Linked DNA regions of Drosophila melanogaster. The protein of the gene in region 3 interacts with the protein of the main gene of each other region in a biochemical or structural test. Each region holds a gene or a part of one and is shown on either strand. Other genes may lie near its edges.

Region 1 (5,750 bases), on a different chromosome or scaffold from region 3:
TTTTATATATACATTTACAATGCTGCACAACTGCTAATATAATATAATTAAATAATATGACAGGATTACAATCGAAAAGCCTTGAAAAATTTCAGAGCGTAACATTTTTGTAGTTTTTCTCGGCTCAATTTTTTCCAAAGCTTCCTGCTTTTTTTCTCGGCTATCCTTTTTGTGTTGAGTGAAGCATGTCCTATTGAAGTGAACTTTTGATGGGTCATCAATGCATTGACATTTAAAGCGACAGCTGTCAGGTCAAACAAAAGTGGAACACGACCACAGGACCTTCCTTTTAACCGATTAATCAAATATGCATGACCAGAGTAATTATGTTTGATTAATACACCCATACGTACGCATATATACATATACATATATATTTCTTTTAATTATGTCTTCGCTCGGCTGCAATTGTGTGCGATTGCCATCAATTATATTTTTGCTTAACAATTTTCTCCTTTTGTTTGCTTTTGATTTCCTGCTATTTATCAAACATTTGCATAATATTTCATTCATTCAAAATTGTACGCTCAAAGAGTTTCACAAGTAAACAAAAGGGTATTCATAAAAATTTAAATCAAGTAAATATGTCAATGCCAAAACAAATATAATGGACGCGTTTTGTGTTGCACTTCCATTGCATTTTCAACTTTATTGTGCCATTTAAAAAAATATTGCAACAATTGTAAGCTGATTAAATGGGAAAATATATTCAGGTCATAGAGTCATAAGCAAGTTTAATCAGCTACAGTTACTTTTTGTATCAATCCAATTCGATGAATTGTAGGAAACCATGCACATAAAATACAATTTTTTGCTTATAATTTGGCTCAATATTATAACCCTTTTTTTTCTAACGAAAGAAGGGTTATTAATGTCGTTCTGAAATTCTATAAGCTCAACCGAAATATTTTATAGAGTAACCAAACAGCTTTTAAAGCCTATTTTCTGTTCGGCCTACTTCACTTATTTGTATCTTTCGGTTACTCGCATCTTAAAGCAAGCTTATGAATTTCTTTTCTGTGTGACTTAAGCTGATTTGGGCCAGACAATGAATAGGGAAAGTCAAGGCAAAAAAAAAAAAGGTTAAGTACAATAAAAATAATTTATGTATTTGGGCAACTTTCTGACGCGCAAAGTTCCATAATAAGTGACCTTGCTGAAGCAGCGTGTAAATAAAATGTTGTTTTATTTTCTTAGAAAATGTCTAGCATAAAATGGCAATCTTGTCGGGCGGAAAGTCTTAGTTACCTTTTCCCTGAGCTCACAGGTAATGGTGTTGGGAAAGTGGTCAAAGGTGTAGCATCTAAGCATATTTTCTAAGGCAATCTCAGTAATGGAAATTTGTGGTGGATGCCACAGAAATATGTGCCACATGAGTGGAAAGCTACGACTCTTAGTAAAACTGAAAACGAAGGCATTTCACGTGACCTATTTAAATGTAAGCCTTACCCATCGCGAATTTATGGTTCTTAGCAATAATGTTTCATTATAAATAATGGATCATTAGCTAATTAATTTCAAGAACTTAAAAGAGTTTAAATAGGCTTATTAGTATGTTTCCGAAGAACAAAATTTCAGTTCGTAGTAACTGAATCAGGTTTATGTTCAGTTGCCTGATAAAATTTTAATTAACCAACAAGTAGCTCTCAAATACTTATAACACTTATAATATTCCGTTTGTATATTAATTAAAAATAGTCATTATTATTTATAACACCTTTCCATCAGTGAGTCTTAATATAAGCTTTTAGGAGCATAAATTTGGTGTCCTTCCCCCACAACATTTAATAAAATAAGTTGATTGGAATACCACCCACCTGTATGTTTAGGCACGTGTGTGCCCAGAGAAATTCTTGGCATTTTCATAATTAAATTGAGCTAACAATCCAAGCTCCTCCCACCGGCAACATTTTTTCCTGAACAACTTCTAACCACAGCAAAGAGAAACAGCGAAAAAAAATATCACAATAAATAAAAATGTAACCGTACCACCCGTTGGCTTGGCTTTTCCGCCACTGGGAAAACCAACGCACCACCCAAACTCAAACAATGACACATTGGTTGATATGTGTTTTTGTTTTTTTTTTTTTTTTGTAAGGAAATACATGATTATTGGTGTTAACTAGTTAATGAAATTATTGGATAATTGGCTCAATAAAATTAAAAGGGCTCACCTTTGCTGCGCTGCTGTTGTCCTTTGATCCTGTTTTGTTGCAAATTTTTCGATGTTTGGGTTTTTGATAAAACTCAAAAGTTTCGGTACCGAATCTTTATGAACCTTGGAATTTTCGCAGTGCTAATTTTCACTTTTGTTTTTCAATTTTTTATCATCTAAATAAAGGGACTTTAATGTTTGCTTTATCTCAACCCATCAAGGCCTGTGAACTCATTTTATATGCCCCCTTTTTTTCATGTGTTGAATATCTCAGCCGTGTGATTCCCGTATTTAAACCATTTCTCGCCCTTTTTCCCATTTTATGCAAATATTCCCGGTTAAGCGGAATGCGACCCTAATTTATGAGCCCCAAAGGGAAGGCGAAAGAAAAAAGTTAAAAAGCAAAAGTTCAGACGAGGGAAAATCGCAACATTTTCCGAGAAATTTTAAAAGGAAACCCCAAAGTATTTCTTATAATTATTTCTAAAATTCTCGGACCGCGTTAAGAGATATACGTATTCCTGGACGACCTTGGCGGTCTTAAAAAACAAAACAGCACGCGAAGATGAATAACATTTTTTGTGTGAGTTGGCTGTATGTGCAACGTGCAACGAGTGCAACGTTAATATGCCACAGCCGCCGTGTGGCCTTGATAGGTAAGAATTGAGGTGAAGGATCAGTTGGGGCAGGTTCGGTTTTTAGTTTTAGTCTGGCTTAGTATTTTAGTTTGGTACTCGAATATTCAAGGATCGCTGGCACTCTTGCACACTTTATTTTGGGATATTCGTTTCACTTAAGTGTTGCATACTTGATTTTGCACACTGGCACGCAGGTCTAGATTTTCATTTTTCCGTAGATTTCTTCATATATTTCGTTGCTTTCACATTGCGTGCGTATATTTCACATTGGCTCATTTATTATTTACCTTTATGGCACACTGGACAACTTTTACTTTCGACTAGCGCACCCGTGTCCGTGTGAGTAAGCCCACTTGTGCGTGTGTGAGTGGCGTATTGAGGTTGTCCTCCGAACAGGACCTTCCACCGCTTTTCACCGTGAGAACGAACCGAACGATACGACTGCACTGAATACACTGAAAGCCACACGAACGGCGTCGGCTTGAAAAGCCAGGCGACCAGCCAAAGCTCCCATTTTCCTCTTCCCCTTTTTCGGCGAGAGAGCGAGCTTTTCCGCCTAGAACAGTGGGCCAAAATGTATTCATCCTGCCAGCTCACTTCCAGTCGGTCTTCACTCTCACCGATGGCACTTTCGAACTTCCCGAAACATGTGGAGTCTCTTTGATATCCGGCTCTCTTAAGGCAAGCATTTAATGGCCATCTGTTGGCATCCTTACGAAGCCACAACTCTTTGCCCCGCTTTGCAGAACTCAACACTTGCCAATAGTGCTATTTTGTACCACTCAAAAGGGTAAACTACAGCGTTTATTCTTTTGTTTGTTATTTATATTCTCCTTTAAGCAAACATTTACACATTCGTTGTATGTTGTTGCTAAATTATTAGTGGAGATACAGGAATACTCTCTTACTACCATGCGGCACATTTATTAGCTTTTATTGGTTTGTTTTCTGACAGTTTTCTTTAAAGGTCAAAGCTATTAAATAATATTCGTCACATTTCAGTAAATATTATTTCTATCTGGGCATATAAGATAATTCATGTCAAAATAATTGGATTCTTTATAGCAAAGATATATTCTTTAAATTTAAGCAGATGAAAATTTCTTCTTGCTTGGTTGATTCTTTAACTCGTACAATTCGATTTTTGCAAAGCTGTCAGGGATTTAAAAAGGTTATTTAAATTCCGCAATTGCTATCCATGAAATGGTATCCTGATCCAAAGTGGGTGGTTACTGGCCAGGGGAGTGAGAGACTTCTAATAGGCAGCTCCAGACACTCGGCCTTCTTAAGCACTTAGTGCACATTAAGTGCCAGGGATTCGGATTGTTTGCTGCCCAGTCGTTTGGACTCATGCCCAATCCACGGCAGACCCCATTCAGCATTGAGAAGCCCCGCTTTCTTCCCCAACTGCTCCTTAGTCTGCTTCAAAGTTAACTGACACTTACACTTGCACTTCTGTGAAATCAAATGCATTCGCCTTGGGCTTGGATTTGGATTTCCTTTATGTTCGAGCGGGGCTACCCATTTTCAAGAGGCTGGAAAAACGTTTTTCCAGTTAACGGACACTGAATGATTGGGTAGCATTAAACGGGTAGCACTTTTCGGGTGGGTGGGGCTTAAATGACTTAGTGATAGACTTAAATGAAAAGCCATAAAAGATTGAAAAACCATGCAATCGGTCTGAAAGTTTGCATATTAAACCATTCCATTTAAACACATCCACTTTAGAACGCAACATATTTATTAACCAATCCTAGTCCTCGCAGAATTCTTCCTCCACTCTAGCACTTGTACATCAAACGAATTTTGGTCCAATCCCCTTCGGAAGGTCCTCGCACCTGACCCATTTCCCTCTCCACAGCCTTACCACCGATTAGGGCACGAATTGTTGGCTTTGAGGGATCCTTGGCGAAGGCGTTCTTCGAATAGTGCATAACGCTCTCGTAATCGTATGGAACATTGAAGGTGGTTGTCTGATCCATGGCCATGAACTGCGACCAGTATTTCCTCGGGATATTGTCGTAGTCGATTTGCACGTACTCATCGCGATCGGGACGACTCTGCTCGTGGAAAAGGCCCAGCAGGTGAAGGGTTTCGTGTTGAATTACAGCCGGCATAGTGAGGCATTTCTCGTTAAGGACAACTTCGTGCGGACCAAAGGACAGAGGTTGATAGCCCACTCGAGTGCCACACATATTGGGCGACTTCTTGAAGGACACATATCGTTTGCCTGCGGGCGGAGCTCCTTCGATCTCTTCGAACTGCACACAGGTTTGCTCGCCAAAACTTGACATTGCTGTCCGCACATTGGCTACCTCCTGTTCACTGTAGTCCGTAGATATGCGGTACAATATCTTATTGCCTGGCCAACGTTGGAGTGGAGAAGTCAATGCATTTCGGGTTTTGGCCTCCGCCTGCTCGTCATCAATATGTATCTCGTTGTAGTAGTTCTCGTAGGACTCAATTCCTTCGGACGCCACCAGATTGGGTGCAAAAATCCCCGCCAAAAGCAAATACCGAACAGCTTTAAGGAACATTTCTATAGCTATGACCAAACTTCAAATGCCAACCCGCTTTTATAGTCATTTAATTAAAATAGTTATCAGTTTTATTTCTGTCTCGAAAATATTCTTTATATTAAGGTTTTACATACATACACGGACAAATCAAGTACAGGCAAAAAAAAAATACTTTCCCTAGCACAAACGTGAACTTTGTTTTTGAATGTACCCTTTTTAAATGATTACATTTTCTTTACAACATCGAAACGAGAATTTTAAAAACTTTACATGATCCAATTAAAAAATTGCAGTGTAGTTAGCTAAACACAATTCCAGATTGGAGCTACACATATACCACCTTCTTTTCCATGGAGCCAAGTTTGTAGTGCTTAGCATAGATACAATAATTATACGTTTGCATAAGCCTAATGAATGCACATCGAATTGCATTTCAGA
Region 2 (7,006 bases), 1.3 Mb from region 3:
ACTTATTCCTTATGCGCATGGGATGTGATCGAAAAGTCCAAACGCAAGAAGACGATGGTGAACAAGAAGATGATATAAATAAAGCCGCTGACCAGCAGGGGTTCCTGCAGCATAGAAGTCTTCGAGAAGCTGTAGTGGAGCGTAAAGTCCGAAATGTGGCTTTCGACCAAATTGGATTTGGAGAACGAGACCACCGGGCGACCAATGGTATCCAGATAGGTGTGCACCAGCTCATTGGGCAATCGGCTGATGGAGTAGGGCGTGGACAGCCTAATGTCACTGGATCCCTCAGGCAGAATAATCTTGATGGTGGCCTCATCGATGGCCATATTGTCGTAGATGTGATCGATGAGGTGCATCTTCAGCTGGTACTTGTTGCCATCGTTGAACATGTACTCGTACGAGGGCACATTGTAGCCCAGAGTGTATTGCGTTTTCCAGCCGCCGAAGAGCGGGAAGCGCGGACGCAGCTCCAGCTCGATGAAGTCGCGCACGGCGTTCATGTTGGAGGTGGAAATGTTGCCATTGGTGTCGCGGTAATAGACACCAGATGCGGATGCTGGCAGGTAGGTCTTGTACGACTTGAGGGCCGCCAGTCCGGAGCGTCCTTCCTTCTGGAAATCGTAGCGCGAGAACGAGCCCTTCAGCTTGGCCCCGGTGTGCGTCATCTGAATAGACTCCTGGACGGCAATGTTGCCCCAATGCGATATCTCCAGCGTGCGTTCCAGCGTATTGACGGTGACGAATGGTGCGGAGTTCTCATAGTGGATGACTAGTGGCTCCTGGCTGAAGGCTGCACGAATCGAAAGCGTTAGAACAGACGGTTTCTGCTAGGCAGCTATTACTTACCCTCTACGTTTTCGTAGGGTCCCAGGGTGATCTTGTTGGAGGACACCGAAAAGGGTTTGACCTGGGTGTGCGACAAGATGTTCGAGGAGCTGAGCTTGACATTGGTCTTCTGGCTGTTGGTCCTGTACTTGGAATAGAGGTGCAGATTGCCCGTATATTTCACGAACTGCTTGTCGTTCTGCCGTATCTCCTCCGGATGTGGGCGGATGCCCTTAGAGGCCACGGTCTCGACGATGAACGTCTGCTTGGCGGCGGCCCTGGGGAAGGTGAACGTGAAGCTCTGCTCCCCCTTCACGGGCTCATTCCGCTTGAATGGCACACTCTTGTCGCTAGCATCTTTTACGTCAATGTACGCCAAACTGGGCTCCGATGTGAAAAACACGTATTCCACAATCGGCTTGCCGGCCGAATCTTCCGCCGAGATCTTGGTGGTCGTCTTTACCAGCTGCGATGTTAGGTCCAGCGTTCGCTCCACATTTGTGTTCACTATTTCCCCGTTGGCAGTGGCCAGGCAGAGGAGTGCCCCAAGCGCCAGATAAATAACAAAATTCGTAGCCATGCTCGCCTCAAATTTGGACACGTACATTGGAAAATCTCGAAGCGTTAGGGCATATTTAAGACCATTCAGCCGGCAAAGCGGCTCAGCGTGACCGTGTCACGCATTCGTACTTTTACCAGCCACTGCGCAGAATTATCAGGGGTATTCCATAAATATTTTAATTTTTATTCTTATAACAGAAAAAATATATAAAGGGCAGTAACCAAAATAATAGCACTTCTAAATAAAGCTTATTTTGCATCAATTTAAGCACAAAATATATAATAATCATTTATAAAATATTATTGATATATTTTAAGTTCTGCATGCATGTTTTATAGCATACATAATTTTTGTTGTGTTTTAACGATTCTCATTGTTATATTACATTATATTATTATATTATCTTGTTAGCGAAGCACTTATCAAGTACTGACCTAACCTAACTTTTGGCTGATAGCAGTCAGCTGACTGGGCGCCATTTCAATCGATTGGCAGCAGAATAAAACTAATTTTGGAAAGCACCCCACCAAAGTTCGTTATCTATTACCCTTAGAACAAGAATACACGCCGTTGTTACGCCACTTTTGTGCGACTCATGCGATTCTCTATGCCATTCATTATGCCGCCCAGCAGTAAATATGAATAATATTAAATAATTCCTGTCATCATCCCTTCGATTGGCGAGTCGAGTTGGCTTAAACACGCATATGCAATGCAATCCGGAGAGAAGAGACCCCACATAATGCGATTGCGTGAGTTATACGGATGGGGCTTTTTGCCGACTTCAATTTAGTCGACGATTGGCACTTCGAAAACGAAGTTGTATTCGCCGGGGTGTGAACTGCGGACTCTTGGCTCCAACCAAGTAAATTCGAATCCAGAATTGTGCCATTTTCTCTAAACACACACACACACACACACACCCGCACGCACATACACACACCCGCACACACAGAGGCCGCGTGTGTGAAAATATAACGAAAATGCAGTGAGAAATCTGCACTTCTGACGGTCAATACATACAATTTATACATCTTTCACCTGTGTATCTGTATCTGTATTCTCGAAAATATGTAGCTATGAAATAGTCATACGAATGCTTTATGATTGCATAAACAATTAGAGGCGAAATGTGTATGTACGCGTAAGGATTTGCCGAGCAGTCAGTGCAAAAAGAGCAGAAAAACGGGAAAAAAGTGAGTTTTCCTCCATCAATTTCTGTGTATGCATTTCCTCCAAAATATATACATATATCTGTATGCATATATGTATGTTTGTATCCGTGACATGTGTTTTTTTTCTGTGCATAAAATATTAGTGAAGAAAGAAATTGAATTCCTCCACTTAAGTCAAGATTATCCCAAAAAAGAAAAAACATGATACAAGTTTCAAGTTGTTTGCGTGACCCATACATATAAATATCTTGTATCTGCGAGCTATAAAACATACATACATACTCCACGGTGCATCGTTGTTGCCACAAATATTTTTAGAAATACACATTGGACATACATACATACATAAATACAAATGTACTCATAAACTGAAGTTCGTTGCAGGAGGACAATGTTGCTGCGGGTATAAAGTTGAATTAGAAAAGTATACGATCCGCGGAGCCTCGAATTCGGAAATAATGGAACCGAAAAGATGGCACTTGCATTTATCATGTTTTTTGCTACTCCTTAGTTCAACTTTTTCTGGTAAGCAAAGGTCGCCAACTTTATGAATCGTTAAACGATTTTTATCACTTTTGCGCTAAGTTGTATGCTATAAATTGGAAGCGAAAACCTTCGATTGCGTTTTTACTTTATTTTGATTGCTTTTGAAGGTAAATAAAAAAAAATATTAAATACCAAGAGAAATTAGTGAACGAAAAATTTTATTTCTATGCAAAAGTAATTAAAAATAAAACGAAAGCTATGAAAACGAAAGCTATGAAGGCATAGATAAAAGATACATTTTTAAGTTTCATTTTTACATTTTACATTTTTAAGTTTTTTTTTTTTAACATTTCACCGCAAATCACTTTGGATTCATTCATTTCATGTGATTTTTGACACATTTATATTAAGAGATTTTGTTTAATATTCATTGAACAACCATTTCAGATGTCGGGAAGATCACTTCGTCTCAAAATCATTTTGGTAACACCTTACAAAGTCAATTTAATACGAAGAACAACACTCGAGTTATTGCACAAAAGGGAGGACTTGCCATTCTGCCCTGTGTGGTCAAAGTTAACTCCCCAGCCACGGTGAGATATATGTTTTTCTTAAAATTTATACATCGATTCTAATACTTAGACCTTTTGCAACATTTCAGGTTTCCTGGATACGTAGAAAGGACTTCCAGCTCCTGACAGTGGGCCTATCCACCCACAGTAGTGACAAGCGATTCTTGGTGGAGCACACGCGGCACATGGGCCACTGGTCCCTGAGAATTAAGGCAGTTCGGGAGGAAGATCGCGGTTTTTACGAGTGTCAATTGTCTATTTATCCAACTCAGTCAATAGTTATAGAATTAAAGATTGTCGGTAAGTGGACGCAGCTGCCTTACAAAGTTCAAAGCTTAACGGGTATTGAATCTTTTCGTTGTATAGAAGCGGTAGCTGAGATTTCTAGTGCACCGGAATTGCATATTGATGAGACTTCTACTCTGCGACTCGAATGCAAACTGAAGCGAGCTACCGAGAATCCTGCATTTGTTTTTTGGTATGAAAAATAATATGAGTTAGATTTGTAAAATTTTATATTATTCTAAACATAAGACCCAACTTAACCGAATGCAATTTCTTCAATTTAGGTACCATGATAGTAAAATGATCAATTACGACTCACAAGGCGGCTTCGTTGTGACATCGATTGGGCAAAGCAATCCGCAGAGTGGCCAGTTTTACCGTAGCTCGCCGGCGAACAAATCGCGCGCCACCATGCCCATGGAGTCCAGCAATGGGGTGCTCAACAGCCTGCTGGGCAGCTCGGATGCTATCAAGGCACCGGCCGCCAATGTGCCCTCCTCCACGCCCTATATGACGCAACAGCATCAATCCGCCTATCTCCTGAATCCCTCGGTCAGTGTGCTTACTGTGAAGCAAGTCAATTTCCGTCATGCCGGCAACTATACATGTGCTCCATCAAATGCCCGTCCTGCCAGCATTACAGTGCATGTTCTAAGGGGTAAGACCGCCGCCGGTCGATATTTAAATATATGTCATACTCATTGTAATTATAATAGGTGAGAAAACGGCGGCCATGCAGCACGCCAATCGGAGCATTTTGGATACGGAGACCAACGGCAACGGCACCTTCGGATTGATCACATTGGGTGGACTGAATGGAACTAGCGGCGTAACTCTGGCCGGGGGAATCCTCTACTTCTCTGGGCTGTTCCTGCTGATGGGCGCGGTGGTATTCGATCGATTCTCGTTGGCGGCAACTCACAAGGTATTCGTAGCATTTATAATAGTCACTATGCATAGCTGAAACTTATAATCGATGGTATTTGGAATGGAGCAACTTCAATCATTCGAGGATATTATATTTGAGAATATTTGTTTTAAAATAGAAGATTGTAAATAGATCATTGACATACCATATTGAGATGCCGGCGTGGGCATGGTAAGACATTTAAAGTAATCTAAGAATAAACTGTAAATAGACTTCCATTACATGCAATGTATTGAATTGAGAAATAAGATGAGAATTCACGAACTTGTTACCACAAAACTTATAAAATGCATACCTATGCCAATAAGTCATGGGGGATTGAAAACCGCATATTTTGATGGTTCATAGTGGTACGTAAGATATAATGTATGCTTAGATGTTCATATTTATTGACTGGTACTGGTACTGACATTTTAATGTTACAAACAATGGAATTAGCGTAAAATGATAATGATAAAGCCATACAGATTTGTTACCTAATAACTCGGAAAATTTGATCGTCACCTTTAAACTGTTATTCTGCTCAGTGTTCGATATTTAGTATATAGATTGATTTATGTAAGCACCTTTAGAAGTATGCTAATTCATATACTGTATGTACAACTGTAAATAAATATTACTTCCGTGAGCGTTTTCAAAAGCGCTGTCTTCAATCCAAAATGGGCAGAAGTGCCAGTTTCGTTTTGTTTACCCTCGAATACGGAGTGCAAAACGACTTTTAAATTTTGTTGCCGACATAAGAACGTTTTAAATAAACAGATCAATTTTAAGAAACCCGCTTCTGGTTAAGTTATTTGCTCTTCAGTTGGGTGGTACACATTTAAAAAATGAATACGAAAATGTTATGAATATTTTTGAACTCATTTTCAAATGTAAGACCCCCTTCCGATTTCTGTTTCATATACCGCAGTTCCGTGAGGTGCAATCTTAGCTTGTCGTTGTATTTGACACAAGTTATCGATAATTCTACATAGCTGAACTACCATCGCTGAAAAATGTTGGCAAAACAAAAAGATGAGATCCGAAATTTTGGCAAGCGCCTTTTTGGGCCTGGCGGTTAGGTCGATTATCTCGCTGTACTCCTACTCCGGCTTCGATTCCCCGCCGATGCATGGCGACTACGAGGCCCAGCGCCACTGGCAAGAGATCACGGTCAATCTGGCAGTGGGGGAATGGTACACAAACAGCTCCAACAACGATCTTCAGTACTGGGGCCTGGATTATCCGCCTCTGACGGCCTACCACAGCTATTTGGTGGGTCGCATAGGAGCATCCATTGACCCCCGCTTCGTCGAGCTGCACAAGAGCAGGGGATTCGAGTCGAAGGAGCACAAACGCTTCATGCGCGCAACAGTTGTTTCTGCTGACGTGCTCATCTATTTGCCGGCAATGTTGTTGCTGGCCTATTCCCTAGATAAAGCCTTTCGAAGCGATGATAAATTGTTCCTATTCACGCTGGTGGCCGCGTATCCCGGACAAACACTCATCGACAATGGACACTTTCAGTATAATAATATATCACTGGGCTTTGCCGCCGTGGCAATTGCCGCAATCTTGCGAAGAAGATTCTACGCGGCTGCATTTTTCTTCACTTTAGCCCTTAATTATAAGCAAATGGAGCTGTATCACAGCTTGCCGTTCTTTGCGTTCCTTCTGGGTGAATGTGTAAGCCAAAAAAGGTGGGTACTTGCGATTCAAAACGACTTTTTTTTAATAGCAAGACAGCTAAAGAATCCTCGATACTAAATCTAAACTCATCTTAATCTTTTCAACCACAGCTTTGCTTCTTTTATCGCTGAAATCTCACGGATAGCAGCCGTTGTCTTAGGAACATTTGCTATTTTATGGGTTCCTTGGTTGGGATCTCTGCAGGCCGTACTTCAAGTACTCCATCGCCTGTTTCCTGTCGCCCGAGGAGTTTTTGAGGACAAGGTGGCCAATGTTTGGTGTGCCGTCAACGTAGTTTGGAAACTAAAGTAAGAAAGTAGAATCAAGTTGGATACAATTTTGTAATGTAACAAATTGTAGGAAGCATATCAGCAATGACCAAATGGCCCTTGTGTGCATTGCATGCACGTTAATTGCATCTTTGCCAACAAATGTACTACTCTTTCGAAGGCGAACTAATGTCGGATTTCTATTAGCGCTTTTCAACACGAGCCTGGCATTC
Region 3 (5,895 bases):
TTTATCTTAAGTTTTGGTTCTTTCACTCGCTTCCTTCCTCACCGAGCATTCGTTTTTCTTTTACAACTTCATTTTTGTCTATGCCGTAGTATCTTAAGATCATCTAAAAGAAATGTGCACAGTGTGCTTTGATTTTATCTGTACATTAACTATTTATGATATAATTAATAAAAAATCATATATATATATCATATAATTCACTTTATAAACACCACCAATATTTGACTAACTTCATAATTTGTATTAACATCTAATTGATAATATTAATTTAGATTGATTTTTAGTATAGACACTTTATTTTAGAAAATCGAATTTAAAAATTTTTTTAATTTTACTGGTAATATTTTCATTGGACATGTCGATATGTGTCTGATATTGTAGTTTAAATTCATAGGTCTTTGAAATATAGTTGTGTCACGCGCAGTCCTCTACTCTGGTTGCTGTTTCTTGGCCATCTCATTCAAAACTTTCTCTTAAAAATTGTATTTTTTATGGCTTTTGAGCGTGTCGCCTTCAGCTATTTAGGGGGTCCACACGCAGCTTGCGAAACACTTACACAGAGACAAAACTTTTTCCCTTATGACTCGCTTATGAAATTAAGCAATTTTGACTCCACCTCTTCCCCCAAAAACCACGCACACATGATAAAGCTTTTTTGGTATGGACCGAAACAGATTTACCATCAGAAACAAGAACAAGAAGTCCAACAAATTTTATGCACTTTTTTATGAGTTTGGCAAAGTGTTTGTAATTAAATTAATAAATTGTTGAGGGAGAAACTTGTTCCGAATGTGTTTTTCTTGTATTTTTATGCTAGGAAATTAAATTTTAATGGGGCTATTTAGTGTTTGTTTGGTTTTTGCTGTTTTTATAATGATAACTTTTTGGTAAAACAAATTGGCTTATAATTGTTGCGGGATTAAAGGGACTTAACTAAACGGGTGCGTAGATGAAAGAGACAATAACATTTATTTGTTTATGCTGACTAAGTTCATAGCCATTATAATATTTTTTATTGGGTGTTTAAATTTTCTTTTTAAAAGATTCTGTGTAAACGTAAATTAATCCTGACATAGTCATTAGCCCAAAAAAAATGTTCCTAGCTCTCAGGGGATTTCTCCTAAGCTTCTATAAATGCCTGACAGCTTTTAACCTTCATGGTTTTGTGGTAATTGAAGGGAGAAAAGAAAGCAGCACAAAGGAGGCCGAAATTGAATTAAGATATGTTTACCTATGGCCGAATTTATTTACATTAAAAGGTTCTTCAAAGAAGAAGCAAGCTAGAAAGGTTGTGCCTGTTACCTATCACTTATATTTTGGCAGCAAACAATACAAATACATGAAAATAAAATTCCGATTTAATTTGGTTTTATTTAAGGACTTACATCTCTCCCTTATCGAAAATTCGTTAGTTCACGTTACTATTTATTCGGATAATACAAGCTTAACTAGACTCAATTTAACTCTGATTTTATCTGGATAAAGTACTCTATTATATTTTCAGAAGTGCAATATAGAAACTAAATTTACCAAATAAACGCACCAATAAATATGCACTTATGATCAAAGCTCACACATATTTTCGACATCATCATCAGCAGCATCAAAGTTTTGCTATTTTGTTTGTTTTACTCTACACAATTTGTAAAGTTCCTGTAACTGCAAACGTCAAACCGAACTCGAGCAAACAAAACGCAACAAAGCTGAACTCAAAAAAGAATTCAAAAAAGATGGAAATAAATAAAGAACCAATAAGCCCTCTCTTCACTAGCTTTTGAAAAAAGTTCTGAAACAGCTGACATCCATGAGTTTCCCATCCTTCTTCTGCTCTGTGTGTTTACGTGTCTTACTCAAACTGTATCAGCTCCATATTGCCATTGATCTGCAATGATGCCTGAATGCAAAACATACCATTGTACAGTGGATACCCAACAAAATGAATCATTTCACATATGTTATAAATATGAAATAATTTAAATCTTAATTATATATTAAATGGAATTAAAATATTTGGACCATAAGAACCGATATATTGATATTAGTGGTGGATCCATTCTAAGTCTTGGTATATTGAATAAATTATGTAAAGTATTTTTACAACAATTTCTATTAGTTTCCAATGTTGTATACTGTAATTAAATATTTCTCTTTAATATTTTTTTTTTTTAATAAATTGTAACAAAATGCTAAGAAACGTTTACAATGAGCTTTGACAATATTCATACTCAAAGACTTATTCTGCATTTGGAATACAGTTGTGTCCAGTAACACATAGGCCCCACTGTACTCTCTGCGTTGTCTGTCTCTATCTCCTACTCCATTAAGTATGCAAGTTTTCAGCAGTTGGCAGTCGGGTCCTGGCCCTTTTCCCTGCATATCCTGATTCTCATGGATGCAGTGGGTTAATGTATTTTTAAGCTAAATTCTTTGTTTATATTTGCCTTGCTGTTTTCGGTTGTGTTTGTGTGTTGTGCATTGCGTTGCAGTGGCAACAACTGCTGTCCTTTATCAATCGCAACAAATTTCCCCTTCGACTATTTTTTTTGCGAGTTGTCCCAAAGTGAACTCTAGTGGATTCATTTATTCGCATATAAGTTTGTTTGGGAATTTTTCACAGATTGAAGAATGGCGTTGTGTGCGTGTCTGCCAGTTTTCGGGATTTAAGGACTTCGAGGGTCCTGGAGATAGTCTCGCTGTTTGTTTACTTTTTGTTGGCATGAAATGTGCATTAGCAGAGTTAACTGTTAATTGTTTACCCATTTCGAGGGCCTGACAAGTGACATGTGAGTTTGTGGTCTGGATTGTAGCTGTGGTTAACCATTAAATGGAGTTCAGTTATTTGAAATACTCGCACTAAGATAAATCGAAGTCTTTAATTGCATTTGAATGATCTGCAGTCCCAAACATAAACCTTTTACATTATATATTGTAATTAAGATTTTATACATAAATATAATATATAGCGTAACGAAACAAACGCATTAAACCAACTCCTTATTGCATTTTCAATTTTTAACATAGCTTATAATTACTTATCCTAACCGGCACTCGCACTTTTAAAAATTGTTGGAACTTTCGATTTAATATACTTCTGTCACTGATATTTATAAATAATATCTAAAGTTTGTTAAATTTAAAATTCCATATTTTTATAAAGTTTCTATTCTATTCTATGAATTATTAATAAAAAAGACTTTTCCGATGATCAAATTGTTCTTCTGTTTAAGACCTTAATAGTATGAATTGCATGTATTGAAATAATTAATTTACATACTGTAACTACAAGAATATTTTTGTGAATATTTAATTCTGTAGGTTAGTTTTGTGTTACGTATGATATACCAAGTTTTCAACCACTTTTACAAATTGTAATCTTTCAATAAAACGCTTACAAGTTTTGGTATTTTTTTAAATTTTATAATCAAGTGGACCTAAGTTTTTTAGCTCGACTTTTAAGTCATTTCTCAACACGATCACATTGAGTCAGGTGCTTCTAATTTGGCATCGATCACATGACACTTGAGTACGACTTTCCCTTTGCCGGGGATCTTTCAGTGTAACACCGATAAAACGCGTCCGCTTCGTGCAGAATCCGTAGCGAAACTGATTTGCCGACGAAACCTAATGCTCGCACAGAGCCGGGCTCTGGCTTTCCACCAACAACAATAAGGGAAAATCTAACGAATGGGAAGTGCTGTTACGTATACGCCGCGTTGGCCGAGTGATAACAGGCGGGGACGAGCCGACGGCCGACAGAGCGAGCCGAAGTGTAGCTTCGGTTTAAGCCAACCAAAGGACGCTGGATGCTGTTCATTGGTAGTTGTTGCTGCCGGTTGCTGGTTATGTCCGGTATCCTTGTTATGTTCGGAGGCTTGTTGTTTGCGTGCAACCGCAACCACAACAACAGACCGCAAAACACGCGACAAAAATGTTAACAGAGTCCAACCTGCAACACCATGCCCCAAAATCACCTCTCAAAGTTCGAGTTGCATGCCGATTCCGCCGTCGAACCTTTTTGGCTCGTTCCGGCTGAAGCTGTACCCTTTTAATAATAATTGAATTAAGATAAAATGAAAACAAAATCAAAACACATTTTTGCTTTCCGTTGGTTGCTGCATATTGCTATTTGGAGCCAAGTATTTAATTAGACAAGTTAATTAAATTTATTTGCATTTCATTTCAAGTCCATGTGCGTATGTTGAGCGAAAAAAGTGCAATTAATTTGAGATATTCAATTTGCAAGCGTTGCTTATTCGATTTTCGCTGATGCAGGACCATCTAATTGAGGGTGATAATTGCGTTTTATGACTGACTGAGCTAGCAAAGCTGGTTGTCAGTTGGTAGACGGTTAATTAAGAAGTTCTTTTCAAAGTTAACAGTGGTATTTTTGAATGGTTAGACAGATAATATTTTTAGTTACTTATTTTTTGAAGTATTTCATGATGATTTTATCCTATTAAATTAGGTGCACGAAAAAAGTTTTGCTATTTTTTAACTAGACCTTGTTTTAAGGGCACTGTAATCATCTCGACAAGCACTGGTCAGTTGTGCAGAAGGAAAAAAAAACGATGCATATCCGTCTGAAAGTTAGTCTATATATAGACGGATTGTATGCGATATGAGAGTGATGAATTCTCCCTGTTGGCCATACTGAACTATCTTAATGAACTCTTTCAAATCACAGACATCGCTCAATGCCAAAAACATTAAAACTGACAAGGCTAGACGGCAGACAAGATGACTGCTCTGTGACCCTCTCCCTGGGATTCCTCTACACACCACACACCCAAGGAGAAACGTGCACCATCGCTTGGCAAGTTCATTGTGGGGGGAATCCCAGAGGTGATAGGGCGGCGAGTGGGCGTGGTCGACTGTTGCGCCAGGATGTGACCAAAACAGGAAGAGTGGGTGGAGCGGGTGGATTAGGTGATGGCGAATGAGGAGGCGGAGGCGGAAAGGCCACAAAGGTCGTTGCAACACATTCGCTTCGTTGGGTCAAAAGTCAAGCGTTGGACGGGGGATCCCTTTGGATGCCAGCCATTACAACACTTTGTTGGCTGCTTTGTAAAGTTTTTCTCACCATGGAAAAAGTTTTTTTCTCTCTTTCCCAGTCTTTTTGTATTTTTCACGCCTTGTCCGAAAGTTTCCTGTTTTTCCCCTCTACTTGTTTTGCTATTTTTTCCCGCTGCCGCCTTAACAATGAAATTTTTGACTGCTGATTGTTTGCTGTTCAATGTTATTCTTCCAGTTCAATGCGAGTTTAAGTAGACAGAGCTAAACAAAATGGAAAAAAAGTATACAAAACCGGTCGGAAATATTGGACCTCCTTCTCTGGTACTTAGCCAAAGTCTGCAGCAAATTGAAAATGGAAAGTTTGGTTCCTGTTTTCCTGTGTAGATATATTCACAATTTCTTTTGCAGTTTGTCTGCGACTTTGGTTAAGTATGCCCTGCAGTCTAGTCTCTCTGCTAAGGACTGCCCAAATGAGGTAAAATAGTTTGGGGAATACTATCGGCAAAGTTTTGCCCCGGCTTGTCTGGTAAGATTTATATTTGGGATATTTGAGTTTAGGAAACAAAACAATACATGTACGAAAATCCGACCGAGTAATAAAACAAGATTAAAGATGAGAATCGAAAGTTTAATGGGCGGAGATTTGTAGACCCTTTTATGGCCAACAAACGTAATAACATCACGTAATTTTGAGGGTTGAAAAAACCGCAGGCTGACGTCGCATTTCCATTTTCCCAGCGGAGGCGAAAATGGAATGGATTTAAAACCAACTCCCCATAAGCATGCATTCATTTTTCCAGCAATTTTCACACTCAAGCTGGCATGCACTTTGCTGCATCTCCCCTTGATGCATCCCCTCGTTTTATCTGACAGCTGCACTTA

What was found.
Region 1: the proteins of DIP-zeta (region 3) and dpr9 form a complex in vitro, tested with the Drosophila melanogaster proteins (one study listed by BioGRID).
Region 2: the proteins of DIP-zeta (region 3) and dpr19 form a complex in vitro, tested with the Drosophila melanogaster proteins (one study listed by BioGRID).

Annotation. Positions count from the first base shown.
Region 1 is NT_033777.3:15,073,956-15,079,705, forward strand, and holds the start of dpr9 (defective proboscis extension response 9), read right to left. Parts: upstream 3,252-5,750; 5' UTR 3,081-3,251; intron 2,332-3,080; 5' UTR 2,175-2,331; intron 1-2,174. Other genes in the region: CG6974 (uncharacterized protein), read right to left, coding at 4,575-5,330.
Region 2 is NT_033779.5:10,374,299-10,381,304, forward strand, and holds dpr19 (defective proboscis extension response 19), read left to right. Parts: upstream 1-1,869; 5' UTR 1,870-2,255; exon of another isoform or gene 2,256-2,586; intron 2,587-2,949; 5' UTR 2,950-3,023; coding exon 3,024-3,090; intron 3,091-3,498; coding exon 3,499-3,644; intron 3,645-3,712; coding exon 3,713-3,923; intron 3,924-3,989; coding exon 3,990-4,101; intron 4,102-4,192; coding exon 4,193-4,566; intron 4,567-4,624; coding exon 4,625-4,872; 3' UTR 4,873-5,607; downstream 5,608-7,006. Other genes in the region: CG33303 (uncharacterized protein), read right to left, coding at 3-793, 850-1,435; gny (garnysstan), read left to right, coding at 5,851-6,515, 6,615-6,812, 6,865-7,006.
Region 3 is NT_033779.5:9,067,558-9,073,452, forward strand, and holds the start of DIP-zeta (Dpr-interacting protein zeta), read right to left. Parts: upstream 3,608-5,895; 5' UTR 3,275-3,607; intron 1-3,274.